Drosophila melanogaster: one gene and its partner. The gene in region 1 interacts genetically with each later gene. Each region holds a gene or a part of one and is shown in the gene's direction. Other genes may lie near its edges.

Region 1 (7,128 bases):
TAGCAAACATATCTTAACCACAATACATTGTGATCCATAAAAAGAACTTTACATAAATTCCGGTATCTAGTAATAATTAAAGTTCAACTCGTGTAATTGTTTGTTGCTTGTCGGCTTTTGTTGGAAAACGGTTCCAAATGGTTGCACACGGAGATGGTGGCAGTGATCAAATAAGAGCAACGAGCATTGCGCCCCATGCATGGGTTTCTCTTTTCAGTCTCCAGTTTAAAATTTTTGGTGGATGGACAGCGTTTTCGGTTTTGTTTTGCTAAGCTAAGCGCGACGCTTGAAAAGTTTCAATGAGAGTTACCCATCATGGGGTTTGTAGAGAGTTACGAGCGAATTCTCTGTGGTCTCTTACTTTCGCTTCTCTGAACTTGCCACAGAATGTTGCATCTCCGCACTGTTTAGTTTAAATTGTACTGTCCATGGCGTCGCATTGAATATATCCGAATTGAAATACACGGGTGCTGATTTGAAGTTTCGGATTTGGAGTATCTACACATCTACACTGTTGAGCATGCAGTACATCCAGATATACATCATCGCCATCACTGATCTTTGTACATGTCGCAATAATTGCATTTCGTCATAAAACGTTTGGTTCTAATTAAGTTTGAAAGACCCACACCCGCATTGATGTAAACATGGCCTGCTGTTTTAATTACAAATTTGTGCTCAATCTATGTAACTTTTTGTTTTTGGTGAGTGACTAACTAAAGTGAAAGTTGTATAGCTTCCTGCTTTAGCAAGTTTAGTAGTTCCTATATGCTATATTTATTGACTAATTGCATTTTTCAGATATGTGGCTTGCTGCTGGTAGTATCAGGTCTATATATCTTCTCCGATAACAAACGCATTCTGCTCTCTAGACTTTTGGCTGCATCCAGCGATCGGCTGAGCTCACTTCCGCAGCCGCTGCTTTTTTATATAGCACTGGGTGTGGCGATTGCGGGATTTGTGGCTACTCTGGCTGCCGTTGTGGGTTTCTGGGCCAGTTGCCTTCACACCTATTGCTTTCTAACCATATACTTCCTGAGCGTTGTGGTGCTCCTGCTGACCGAATCGGTTTTGTGCCTGGCCATCACATTGTGGCCACATTGCCTGGGAATCAGCTTAGATGAGACTCAGATGGTGCGATCGTTGCAGAGCAACTATGGAGTTCCGGGGCAGGAGCAGTTTACCAATGCCTTGGATTTGGCACAGGTCCGGTTCGGATGTTGTGGGATGAGAAGTTCCTTGGACTACGACACATCATTGTGGAGATTACAGGGCTATGGACAAAGGAATTGGCCGGTGCCGCTAAGTTGCTGTTTTCTTAAGAATGCCGGACATTCCATGGCATATCTGGACCCCAAGCCGGCCAATGAATCGATGTGTCAGTCTCTGGAACGATTGTCCTACGAAAGGGAACGCCACACGGAGTCATGTCTGCCCCATCTGGACAACTGGTATCGCGAACAGTACAGCATCTTTCTTGGCGCCAGTCTAATATTGGCCATGATTGAATTTTGTGTCCTACTCGCCATTATCATGAGCTGCACCGGACTTGCTTCGCAACGGGCTAGGCTTAAGAAACCTGTTCAGGAAATGCGGACTCAAAAAGTAAAATCGCGACAAACCCTAATCGAGAATATATACGAACCTGATGTTGAACTGAGAGAAAATTCCAATCACAGTGGAGACGGAATATATCTGGGACCCGCTAGCAGACATGTCAGCAGTGAGGATTTCAAGGAGTTGTATATAAAACCGAGAGACTTGTACAAACAACATAATTTAAGAACAAGCCCAGCCAACCGACCAACACAAATGAGGAATTATTTGGTCTAATTGAAAACCTTATCCTGCTCACAAATGGACACGTATAGCTTAAGCTAATATAAAGCTAAGCCAAGAGAGGAAAGTATGAAATTTAAAAGTGTTATCTATATATATCACAGCAGTATGTATTTGCTCAGTAGTATAATTATAAGTATATTTAGTAATATTATTTATTTAAGTGTGGAATATATTAAATATATTTTCTAATGTATTCAGTGTTTTTCAACCATAAATCTAATTTCGATGGCTTACTTTGAAGTAAATCTGAAGATTTTTTCCACTTTAAACGTTTTCATTGTTTTAAATACGTGCATTAATTAAATTTGGTACCCAAAAGTTATTTCTGTAGGCAGGTTCAATACACTTTACTAATTTTGACACCAATGCGCCCTCTAGCGAGCTACGAGACAAGCTGCTGCTCGAACGCATGAACCGTAAACTGCTTGCATTCAGCATTTGCACTGCTTGAACCGATAACTTTTAACGGTCACAATGTAGTACGTTGAATATTTGAAATTAGTTCACCCTTGGCCAACATTAAAGTGATTATATTCCACCACCCAAGTTCAATGCCATTGGAGAAGTTTCTGCGTAGGACGCTTTACATCCAGCAGCTCTTCGTTGACCATATAACTTTTGAATGGCGACATATCAGCAGAGGGGGCTACCCCAAGTCAGAAAATTCTTACACCCATCGTGGACTCTAGTAAAATTATGACATAGGTCCCGGAAATGCCGCTATCAGGAAGGCATTAGCATCAGCTTAAACTTGGCACAGATTTGTTACATTCGCTTTGCTAATTTAAGAACGGCGATGCCGATAAGCTGATGATGGTGCTTTTTTTGCGGATCGTGGATAAATAGTGGGCTTGAGCCTAACAATTCCGAGTGTTCTGATAAACCAGCTACGGAATCGGGCCTATAAAAGGGGCTCCCCATTCATGGGGAACATTAGTCGCGATCGCGCATCGAAATCGTCAAGTTCAGTGGATATAATTACAGTGAAAAAGTGCTAAGTGTAAAAGTTTTTAAAAGTGAGTTCTAAGCTGGATTTTAAACAGGACTAACAGCTTGGCAGTGTCCTTGCAGAAATGGATTACCAGTGCTAACTATCAACAGGATTTTCCTGTGTATACAATTAAACCAACAATTTCCGATTAGCCTAACAAAATGGCTAACAAAGTGATTTTTGTGGCGTTGTGGCTGCTTTTTATTTCATCTGTTTTGACAGAGAATGGAGACATTATAATAACCGATGATGACGACGAGGATATCAAGTGAGTGGATGAGAAAGTTACAGTTTTTGTGCAAATAAATAAATACTCGTAAAGCGGAATAAATACGTCTTCAAAAATAATTATTTTGGAGAAATACATTGTGAACATTAATATACATACATGCATGTGAACTGTGGGTCTTACCAGATTTTTCTTCGATAATATTGTTATATCCTTAAATTATAACAATTGAATAAACCATCTAAGTTAAAAAATGAAGATATAAATAGATTTATATATACACAAAACAAACTCTCTATTAAATTGGAAATACTTTTACTTCGAAACTTTACTTTTATTAATGTCGTTGCATTAAGTATAAACAAACTGTAACTTAAGGAAAAAGATTTCACAACTCGCATCCATATTGAAAAAAGTGTTTTTTTTTTAAGTTGTCTTCAAAGTTACCAATACGATTCTGTAAAAATAAGTCCTTTCGCTAAAATCCTAGAAAATATTGTCCTTTCAACATTCTAATTGCTAGCTGCGTAAAATTAAGCTTTGTGTCCTAATGATTATTTGCGAATTTAGCCCGCTGCTCCAGGCCGCACCGGAAGTCGTCGATAAGGAGAACGAACGGAACGAACGCCACATTAGCTTCAACATCCTCAAAGCCCCAGCAGTTAGGTAATGATAAGTCTGAAGAAACCGCGATAATTCGCCAAGTTCAGCGGGGGATTATTTAACTGGATTACATTATTTTATAGTGCACGATACACTTATGGCGGTTCTGAAGGAGGCCGTAGTGGATTCGGAGGAGGATATGGTGTTGGTGGAGGTGGAGGTGGTGGTTATGGCGGGATAAAGACGTCTCATGCCGCTGGAGGACTGCTTACCAAAACCTTGGGCTTTTTAGGCATGGGTGGCCAGGGGTAATTATAAAAAAAAAAACTATGAAGTGTATCCGAAGAATTAAAATAAAATCTTCAACAGAAGTCAGGGCAACTTTTACGGAGGCGGAGGACACTTTCTAGCAGCCTTCGGAAAATGTTCAGCCCTCCAACTGCCGTCCAATGTTCAGTCTGAATGCCACAATGGTCGTTGCAAAGTCTTCTGCCCAACTGGCTATAGTTTCGCACAGGACGTTTCAGTCCTGGAGATGTTCTGCAGCAATGATGGATGGATCATAGGCAACTCCGTGTTTGCGGAGGTGCCACCCTGTCAGGCACAATGTACACCTCCATGCCAAAACAATGGCATCTGCATTTCCGCCGGAGTGTGCCAGTGTCCGGAGAACTACTACGGTCCGCTGTGTCAGCAAAAGAAGTCCATATGTGCATCCTTTCCGAAGGCACCGAAAAACTCCAAAGTATCCTGCAAGAACAAGTGAGCTCTATGGGTCTGGCTTTACATAGGGATACTACAATCCAATTATTTTTTAAGTATGTGCCACGCGGAGTGCATGAGAGGATTTCAGTTTCCAGACGGCAGCGGAATTACGAACATTGAGTGCCGCAATGGCCAGTGGGTGCACACTAAAACTGGGCTATCCAAAACTCCAGATTGTGCTCGTGAGCAGAAACCTCAAAAAAATGCGGAGTTTTTTGTTTCAAACTTTTTCTTTCAGCTACTTGTGCGCCCGCCTGCCAAAACGGAGGTCAGTGCATTAGTTTCAATGTCTGTCAGTGCTCTAAGATGTTCCGCGGAGACCATTGTCAATATAGTAAGTAAACAGATTATACTTCAAAATATTAACATGATAACATTTTTGTTATCGTATTTGAAAAATTTTTAATTTTTTTTAAATTTCTTATTACATTTTACAGACATTGACAGATGCAATGTGACTAATACAAATTTTAATGGAAACTACAAGTGTGCCTACGAAATGGACGACGCTCGTTGCACATTTAGTTGTCCTCAAGTACCGGGATTAAAAATCCAAGGACGAATTGACATAGAGTACAAGTGTAACTATCTGCAAGGACAATATCTGCCTGCCCCGCTTCCAAAGTGTATTTTCCGTAAGTATCCTCAACATAACTGTTGATAAGAGTTGTCCAAGTATTATCAGTCCGATATTAAGATTATAAAATTAAAGGTAGATTTTTTTCTTCTAAAATCAAAATACTACAGCTCCTGGATACACCGTTCGGTCCACATCATCCATGCAAGGTGTAACGCATCAGAATGGCGTTTATCATCGCGGAATGAGTGGGGAAATGGCTTATGAACTCCAAACAGAACGTCAAAAACTACTTGCTCTGCTCGCAAAATATCGGGATCTGGAAAGAAGAAGTGTACGTTAATTTGCATCATTTCCATATAAAAAAAATTTAATAGAAAATGAATTTAGGAATGGTGGTCTTCGGAGGAAACTGTTGTCACCATGAGCAGTTATTCCTTGTACCAGAGCAACAATTTGGATATCGTCATCGACAAAACCCCACGACCAGCACTTTGCACCACTTGGGGTGGTATTAACATGAAAACCTTTGATGGTCTGGTTTTCAAGTAAGCGGAGTGCTATAAAAATTTAAGTAAATCGGTTTGCTTAATCCATTGTTCCCAACAGGGCTCCTCTATCCTGTTCACACACGCTAATTACAGACAAGGTCTCGGGTACATTCGACATTATCCTGAAGGCTTGTCCTTATGGCTCTGGGTATGGCTGCGCACACACCTTGAAAATTCTATGGCAATCGGTTCTATACACTTTTGAAAACCTGAGTAAGAGCTTTGATACCAACATGATAAAACATGTGAAATAATTTATAAAATAAAATTCCTTTTAGATGGCACCATGCAGCTGACCACACCGATTAAGAAGCTTCCAATGCCTGTCCAGGTTATGGGCATGAAAGTCATGCCGGTGGCCCAGCATGTGCAGATCGATCTCGAGTCTGTAGGTCTCAAGCTGGATTGGGATCATCGGCAGTATGTGTCCGTGCAGGCGGGACCCCAAATGTGGGGAAAAGTTGGAGGTCTCTGTGGAACCCTGGATGGTGATCCTAACACGGACTTGACCTCCAGAACGGGCAAAAAGTTGGCCACGGTCAAGGCCTTCGCAGATGCCTGGCGCGTCGAGGATCGCAGTGAATTGTGCCAGGTGGAGAATAGTGCAGAGATGGAGTTCGGTATGGATTCCTGTGAGCAATCTAAGCTACAAAAGGCTGTATCAGTCTGTGAGCGTCTGTTGGCCAACGAAAAGCTCGGTGACTGCATTAAACCCTTTAATTACGACGCCCTGATCCGCACCTGCATGGCGGACTACTGCAATTGTGCCAATCGAGAGCACCCGGAAAGCTGCAATTGCGATGCCATTGCCATGCTGGCCAAGGAGTGCGCCTTCAAGGGCATTAAACTGGAGCACGGTTGGCGCAATCTGGAAATCTGTCGTAAGTCAGCAAAATCAAAAATTGGATCAAAAGAAAGTAATCTAGCTTGAGAAAGTAACTAGCGGGATTGTAAAACAGAAAATTTGCTTCGATTTGAATAACTTTTTAACCGACATTCTGATAATCTCTTTTTCTTTTCCAGCCATCAGTTGTGGCTTTGGGCGCGTTTATCAGGCCTGTGGTCCAAATGTGGAGCCGACTTGCGATTCAGACCTAGCGCTACCAGCCTCAAAAGGCGCATGCAACGAAGGCTGTTTTTGTCCGGAAGGAACTGTGCAGTACAAGGAGGCGTGCATCACTCGAGAACTTTGCCCGTGTTCCCTTCGCGGCAAGGAATTCAAGCCAGAGTCGACGGTCAAAAAGAATTGCAACACCTGCACCTGTAAGAACGGTCAGTGGCGGTGTACGGAGGATAAATGTGGCGCCCGCTGTGGGGCCGTTGGAGATCCGCATTATCAGACGTTCGATGGCAAACGATATGATTTTATGGGAAAATGCTCCTATCATCTTCTGAAGACCCAAAATACCTCGGTAGAGGCGGAGAATGTGGCTTGCTCGGGAGCCGTTTCGGAGTCAATGAATTTTGCCGCTCCCGATGATCCGTCATGCACAAAGGCGGTGACCATCCGATTTATCCTGCGCGATGGCACCCCATCGGTGATTAAGCTCGATCAAGGACTGACCACGAT
Region 2 (7,128 bases), on another chromosome or scaffold:
CCGATCACAATAAGAATAAGTTGGGCGCCAATTATGCCAAAGGTCACGAACAGGTGCAGGTGTTCTTCGAAGACAATGTGGAGATCACGGAAGAGAAGGGCAACCAGGATGTGCTAATGGAGCACGAGAACCACGGCGGAGAGGATTTGACTGAGGATATTCCACAGCCGCAGGTGAACATACCTGTCAAGCAAAACAATTCTATACAGCCTAAGTTAATTAGGAAAAAACTGAAAAAGGGCACAATTCATCATGGCGAACATGATATGCATGCTATAACAGATTTGCAAGGATCACACCATACGGAACACATATTGAATCACCATGATCACAGCTCTAATTCTCCAGCACATCATCACAATAGTACTGCCCATCATCGGGAGCACAGTTCGAATATCACAAACGAAGAAACTAGTCGTAATCACATACGAAATGAAGATGAAGATCCAGATCAGAATTCAAGTAAGACCCATTATAGTGCGGAAAGTCCGCCTCACCGGGAACGTCTCAAAAGACACAATAGGGTAGCCCATAGGAATCAGAAGAGACAGGATCTTTACGATACGCTTTATAAAAGATCAAAGAGGGAGAATGTCTACGATAGAAAGACGATCCATGGAGGAAATGCTATAAATTTTACGGAAACGGACGAGTCGAATTCGGTGTCCAGCTTTGAGACAGGACTATTTCAGTGTTTCAATGGAATGATCCTGCTGCAGGAGTTCTTCAGGCCAAAAAATGAATGCTCAAATCCGCACATAATGGACACTTCGCCCAACAAGAGTTCCATGGTGGTGCACAACGTCATCGAGGATGGGTACTACTATTATATATTCTACAGCGACAATGATCACGTTCAAAACGAGATCCACGCCATATTCGATATTTACAAGCCGACGTATCAGTACTCAAACATGAGCGAGTCACAAAGCTGTCTGAATACCACAAATTGCACATTCAACATCAGTTTCCTTTCGGATGAGATTGTGGTGGTGGAGGTTCCAACACGGGATGGTATCGAGCACGAGGAGGACGATATAACCAATCTGATCTCCACCTGTCATCCGCGCAGCGAGATATACGCCATCTTTCCCATTACGGTGCTGGTGCTGATCCTTTGCTGCTCCTTCCTGTAGTCCTCCTGATCCAATATTATTAATATACTATTGTGATATTTATGGTGAGGTAACTACCGGGTGATATACTCGCTTGTGAGTGTGTTAACGTTATGGCCGGCCCCAAAACGAGAGCTTTTAAAATAGCCATAGAATATTCCATATCGGTTATACACACACGGAATGAACAGTCTGAACAAATCGTTATCAATATTCGTAGATTTTATGCTAGACTAGAATGTAGCCTAAGACGCAAGCATTTTTTGGTCTACAAATGAAAATGGGAAAATAGTAAGATAAAATATGTAAATTGTATATCGTGTACAAATAAATGTAGATACCAAGTAATTTTAAGATGAAATTGTAGTACTTATCAATTAATTCAATTATTCTCATTTTATAAACGACTTTGATCTTTTTGTTTACCTGAACACATTTTAAAGACAATTCTTATGTAGTCATTTGAAGAGGATTAGTTTTAATGCTTTTGTTGACTTTGTATAAGTGATTTGAATTTTAAGGAAATTTTCATTAGTTTTTTAATAAAAATAAAATTGATTGTAATCAAGCGTTGTAATTTTTCATTTTATACTCAATGTCTACATTTTAACGTTGCCGCAAAATATTTTCCACTGGCTTCAGTTTTAGGAGAGAAAAAAAATTTTGTTGATTCTAGTTATTTTAGATTAATTTGCACACCACTCAAAGCTAATTTGCCGATCATTTGTGTGAGTCTTTTCCTAATTTGGCCACGGGAGTAATGCAAATATTTACATAAAATTCATGTACACATACATGCCTGGAAGAAATGAAATAACATTTTCATTAAAAATGAATAAATTTACTGTCTAGTCTTTTAGTTCATACACTCAATTGAGCAGCGTAAACAAAGTGCCTTGGATTATCCGATTAACATAGTTGCATTAGATTAAGTTATAAAAGAAAATAATAAAATAGTAAAAACAGTATTCAGTAAAAAAAAAATTATTTTTAAAGAAGGGAAAAAAAATGAAAAAAAAACATCATTCAAATTTAGCAGATCGTTGGGAACGTCAGCAAATGAAAGCTGATTGCTACGAATCTAATGTTGATCTACACTGTATATACTTGTGGTTGTGTAGATAATGTGTAAGATTACAGTAAAAAAAATAAAGTCAGTCAGCGATTTTTATACCCGTTACTCGTAGCTTAAGAGGGTATTCTCGACTTGTTGAAAAGGGTGTAACGGATCTTGACACGCGGCATTTTTATTTCGAAACATCACGCCGACACTTTTAAAACATTTTTTTTGAGTAACGGGTATCTGGTAGTCACGAAACTCGACTGTAGCGTTTAAAAAACTCCTGAACTCTCATTCGTTGCTCACTAATTAGAAGACAGAATTTGCCCTTATCAGAGTTGTCAGATAATGCTAACAAGAAATACTATCTTATCTGAAGTGATCGATTGCAAAAAGTTATATGAACTCATTAACCAGCCCCACATCAATAAATATTTATTAAAGGCATTCGTCACCAATTGCATTAATTTCGATTTCTGGGTTTAAAAATATTTAACGTATATTCACTAATTTTGGCTGACAACATGGAGTTACCTTAATAAATTTTCAAGTAGTCTATGTTCAGGTTTCGAATATGAAGTATTAGAAGTCTTTAGCATCACAGAAGCCGGTTGTTAATGTACAATAGATAACGAATCAAACAAAAACGTTTCTTAACGAGTTTGCGCGTATACATAACTTGTTTAATTACAGTTGCGATATCGCAAATTTTTAACGTACAATGCAAAAAATTTCTTGCATTCAAATTTGATGTTAGTTATATTTTCTAATAACGGTTTTGGACAACTATTTTTATAGCTTGTGAAATCTTACTAGAAAAAAAAAAAAAAAAAATACAAAAATCTTATATTTTTAAACGGGGTTTTCTCTATAACTTGGTAAAAAAAAGGTGGCACATCTAACGAAAAAAAACACTGTTTTATACTGCTCATAAGCATACCTAACTATCCCTATCATAATTTTAATGATTTTCAAAAATCAAAATTTGAACAAGTTTTCGGTAATTTTATATTCTTTCCTTTCTAGATTGTGATTTTTGGAGATATTTCAGACGTACAATTATCAATTTATATATTATGCACATATATTTGTATTCATTCTTTGAGAAAGTAATATTCGAAAGAGTGGACACAAATCTTAGAACCAACCCCAAAAACAAACCCTTAAGATAGTTTCCAACAGCTGTTTTGCCAAATATATGGTGACTAGTAGCGAGTGATGAGAGAAACAGGCCATTGATAAATCGAAGTCACACCACTTATATATACAAACTACATATCTTACCTATAATATTTTAGTTTAATAGAAGTTTTTTTTATAATTTTCAAATCACTCTCGCTCTTTATAGAAAGCCGGTACCGGTTTACACCCCCTTTCCGACACAAGCATATAAAAAGAACAGCGAGAGAGAGAGAGAGTGAGCTTTGGTTCTCTCACTTAATTCTGTTGATTGCACAGGTAGAAACAAATAACTTGTATACTGCGATATTTAAATTTATTTGTTTTTGTACTAATTTGTACTATATTCTGGTTAAATATGAAATAGTTAAAAATACTTATTGGGAACTGATATTTTAAATAATATATTTAATAATACTTGGTGTAATTAAATTCAAATTTTTTACTTTTATTGCACTAGACAGCAATAATAGCTTATGTTTCAACTTCGATCATAATCATAAATTTTTTTAATTTACAACTTTCAACATTTTCTTGCCAGTGTACTCTGTTCTCTTCGTTCTCGCTCGTGCTCAGTTTTAGAATTCGCGGCAGTTGTTTTTGTTTGTCCGGCGCGTTCGCTTGCTTCACTTATGCGCTTGTTGAAAATCAAGGAAAGGGCGCGGAAAATAAGTTTAATTAAATATTTCGAGTGGCTCGACTAACACAGCAATTAAGCGAATGTGCAAAACGTGAAAGCAGTTGTGAATAAAACGCACTCATCGCGAAATTAAAAGCTTTTTGGGAGCGTCCTGCGATGGAGAAACGCGTGAGGAAAAATCAATTCGTAAGTAAATGGGCGACGCGAAAAACGGTGATTTAAAAATCAAATGAAATGAAACGCGTGCGGAATTTACCTGAACGGAAAACTAATCGGTCAGCAAAAATTGCGTTTTGTGCCAAAACAGAAAGCGCAATAAATATAATATACAATTGCGCATATGGTGTATGTACATAGAGTGCAAGAAGAACGTGACAAGGAAGAGCAAACGAAGGTGAAGAGTGTGAATAAAACCAAAACAATAAGAACGAACAAGTTTAAGCCACTGTTACGGCAAGTAACGCACGAGAATATACATATGTACATATATTGGTTTCCAACTGGAAACTGAAATTGACTAGAAGGAAGTGGAAGGAAGAATTGCCTGACGGCCTTTCCTTCCAGTCCGGCCACTCACACTACCAAAGCCCCTTGCTGCAGGATGTTAAAATAAAGCTAATGAAGAAAAGAATTGAGAACAGTATAAAAAAAATAGCTAAACTCTTGGGTCCCCATTCCTAAAATATTTGTAAACTCTGATCCTATGCCTAAAAATTATAAAATCAATGCAAAAAGTTTAAATTATAAGGTACAGCATTTATTAAATTTAACGTTCTGTTCCAAGTGTGTTTGAGGCATTTAAGGCGACAACTCTAATATGTTATCTGTTTGAGGGTCGTTGGTCTTGAGTATTTTTAATAACCCGCTAAACACAAAGGAATATGTTGATAACTAGGCGAGAAGTGGCTTCCCAATTCGTGATGTCTTATCCTGGTGGTTGTTGTTGTCTCTGTTAATGTAATGACATTCCCCAAACAGCTGCATTTTGGTTTCTCGCTCTCCGGCTCTCTTCAGTTGTCATTTCCGTTATGCCCTGCCATGCACTCAGCCCTCCCCCTCTATTCCCTTTTGCATCCGGGGGGTGAATTAACTGCAGCCGAAACGCATTTACTTTAATTTATTTGTGGTTCCAGTGGGCGTCACTTTCTCTCCCTCTCATTTTTATCTCGACAGAGAGAGAGAGAGCAGCACATGCTATTGTGCGTGCATTTGTATTTGTATTTCTCGTCTCTGCTCTCTGATTAGCCTTCTCTTGTTATTGTTGCGGGGATAATTCATATGCAGATTGCACCTAGTGATTGCCATTCAAATTCAACTGATAGTGGAAGCTGGAACTTGTACTATAAACATACATATGGTTCTTCCTGCTTCAAGTAAAAAAACAGTAGCCATTTCCATCAGTCATCAAAGTAATGAACTCTCCTTGCAACATATGGGACTGAATAAGAATAGTACTTTATGCTACTTTTAGCATGTTTTCGTTTTCCAGAAGAGAACTACCTAGTAAATGAGTTTTAATAATTATGAATGACTCTAAAAGACTGATCCTTAAAGAGCTCCTTACTTAATGTATTATTACATTATTTTTAAAAATATTCAATACCAAGTCAAATAGTTTTTAATGTATTATTTCTTGTATTGGGTGTATTTGTTCTTAAATGTGTGTTATTTCGTAAAGCCAAAAATCTGAATTTGAATAGACTAACCCAATAACCTTAAACCAGCTGTGCCATGCCCCGCGGGCTATACTATAGAATATTGTTCAATGGCCCCAAAAAGGTGCCATTTCACGTGAGATTCAGGTGAATAGCGCTATACCTATTCATTAATCAGCAATCAATTATCTATCAGCAAAGCCTTTTAATCAATATTTAATTAAGAACTCACATTCCGACTTTTCTTCTTATACATTGCTTTTGTCGATGTCGTTTGAACAACAGAGTAATAGATATTGTTCATTGGGACAGAAAATAATAGTTACTTGAGAACTCTTATAGATAAGCTCTCCGTAAAGTATACAAAATTTTAAGGAATGGAATTCTTTAAGGTTGAACTAATGGCATAATCACTTTTCTCATTCGTTCGTTATATGAATCATATTAATATTTCCATTTTCATTTGCTGTATTGTACTATTACACGATGAACAAAGAAACAGAGTTTTAAAAACGAATGCCATGTTTTTTTTTTGTGCCTGATAACAATTCCGCAGTCCAGTTCCACTTTGATAAACAGCTGCCGACATCATTGTGCCAGTCCTTACTGTATTGTTTATCTGAAAGGGAAGTTACTGAAAGTGAATTGAAATAAAACGAGAATCATAGAGCCAAAACATTAAGTACAGGGTACTTTGCTTATACGGGCTCCAAAAATAAAATACAATAACTGAATTAAAATATTTGCGGGATCGCAGAGCGTGGCTGATTTTATTGACCGCAGATGAAAAGCGGCCAAACAAAACAATTGTACAATTGGTTTGGTTTCTGGTTTTAGTTTGTCTTTCTGGCCCATTCTGTTTTTACATTTTTTTTTTTAAATTACGATGAATGGACTGTCACGCTAGTCTGAGTATAGGGCAGCAAAAAAGCAAAAGGCACTCTATTAACTGAATGACATAATAATAAATTTAGTTTAGCTTAATTTCTATTAACAGGTGCTCCATTACGCGCTCTCGATGAATTAGTTAAGAACTAGATTATTATTATTATTATACATATATAGTGAATAAGAATTTAAGCTACATAAGTTGACTTTTGGGAAAACTTAACTACAATATTAAGCTGGTTTTGAAAAACCCATAAATATAGTTATGCTTATCTATTTGAGTTATGATGAGGTAAACGTTTTATGTCAAGGGTTCTACACACACACATTGAGGGAATTTTTTAAGCTTTACAATGCCACAAAATATTTTTTTTTATTATCTGTGCAAGGTACTACATCTTTGACGAGACAAACTGGTGTTATAATGTTTTATTATCTTTGGCTTTATCTGAGTACGCCACAAACACCGAAATTTCAAAGATAACAACTAAAATACGTAATAGCACGAATAAAGCTAATCACCATGGATATCAAATAGATCACTGAAATAGAATTGCCAGACAGTATGAATTATATACACGTTCATATTCG

The links.
Region 2: of Hml (region 1) and C1GalTA, changing one suppresses a phenotype caused by changing the other (phenotypic suppression), as found in Drosophila melanogaster (one study listed by BioGRID).

The regions. Positions count from the first base shown.
Region 1 is NT_037436.4:13,843,214-13,850,341, forward strand, and holds the start of Hml (hemolectin), read left to right. Parts: upstream 1-2,840; 5' UTR 2,841-2,994; coding exon 2,995-3,101; intron 3,102-3,632; coding exon 3,633-3,728; intron 3,729-3,808; coding exon 3,809-3,973; intron 3,974-4,034; coding exon 4,035-4,427; intron 4,428-4,484; coding exon 4,485-4,612; intron 4,613-4,668; coding exon 4,669-4,764; intron 4,765-4,867; coding exon 4,868-5,065; intron 5,066-5,177; coding exon 5,178-5,341; intron 5,342-5,397; coding exon 5,398-5,555; intron 5,556-5,616; coding exon 5,617-5,771; intron 5,772-5,836; coding exon 5,837-6,439; intron 6,440-6,581; coding exon 6,582-7,128. Other genes in the region: Tsp68C (tetraspanin 68C), read left to right, coding at 648-704, 802-1,833.
Region 2 is NT_033779.5:8,948,030-8,955,157, reverse strand, and holds the start of C1GalTA (core 1 galactosyltransferase A), read left to right. Parts: upstream 1-3,941; 5' UTR 3,942-4,180; exon of another isoform or gene 4,181-4,388; intron 4,389-7,128. Other genes in the region: CG31886 (uncharacterized protein), read left to right, coding at 1-1,136. UniProt on the Drosophila melanogaster protein: Glycosyltransferase that generates the core 1 O-glycan Gal-beta1-3GalNAc-alpha1-Ser/Thr (T antigen), which is a precursor for many extended O-glycans in glycoproteins.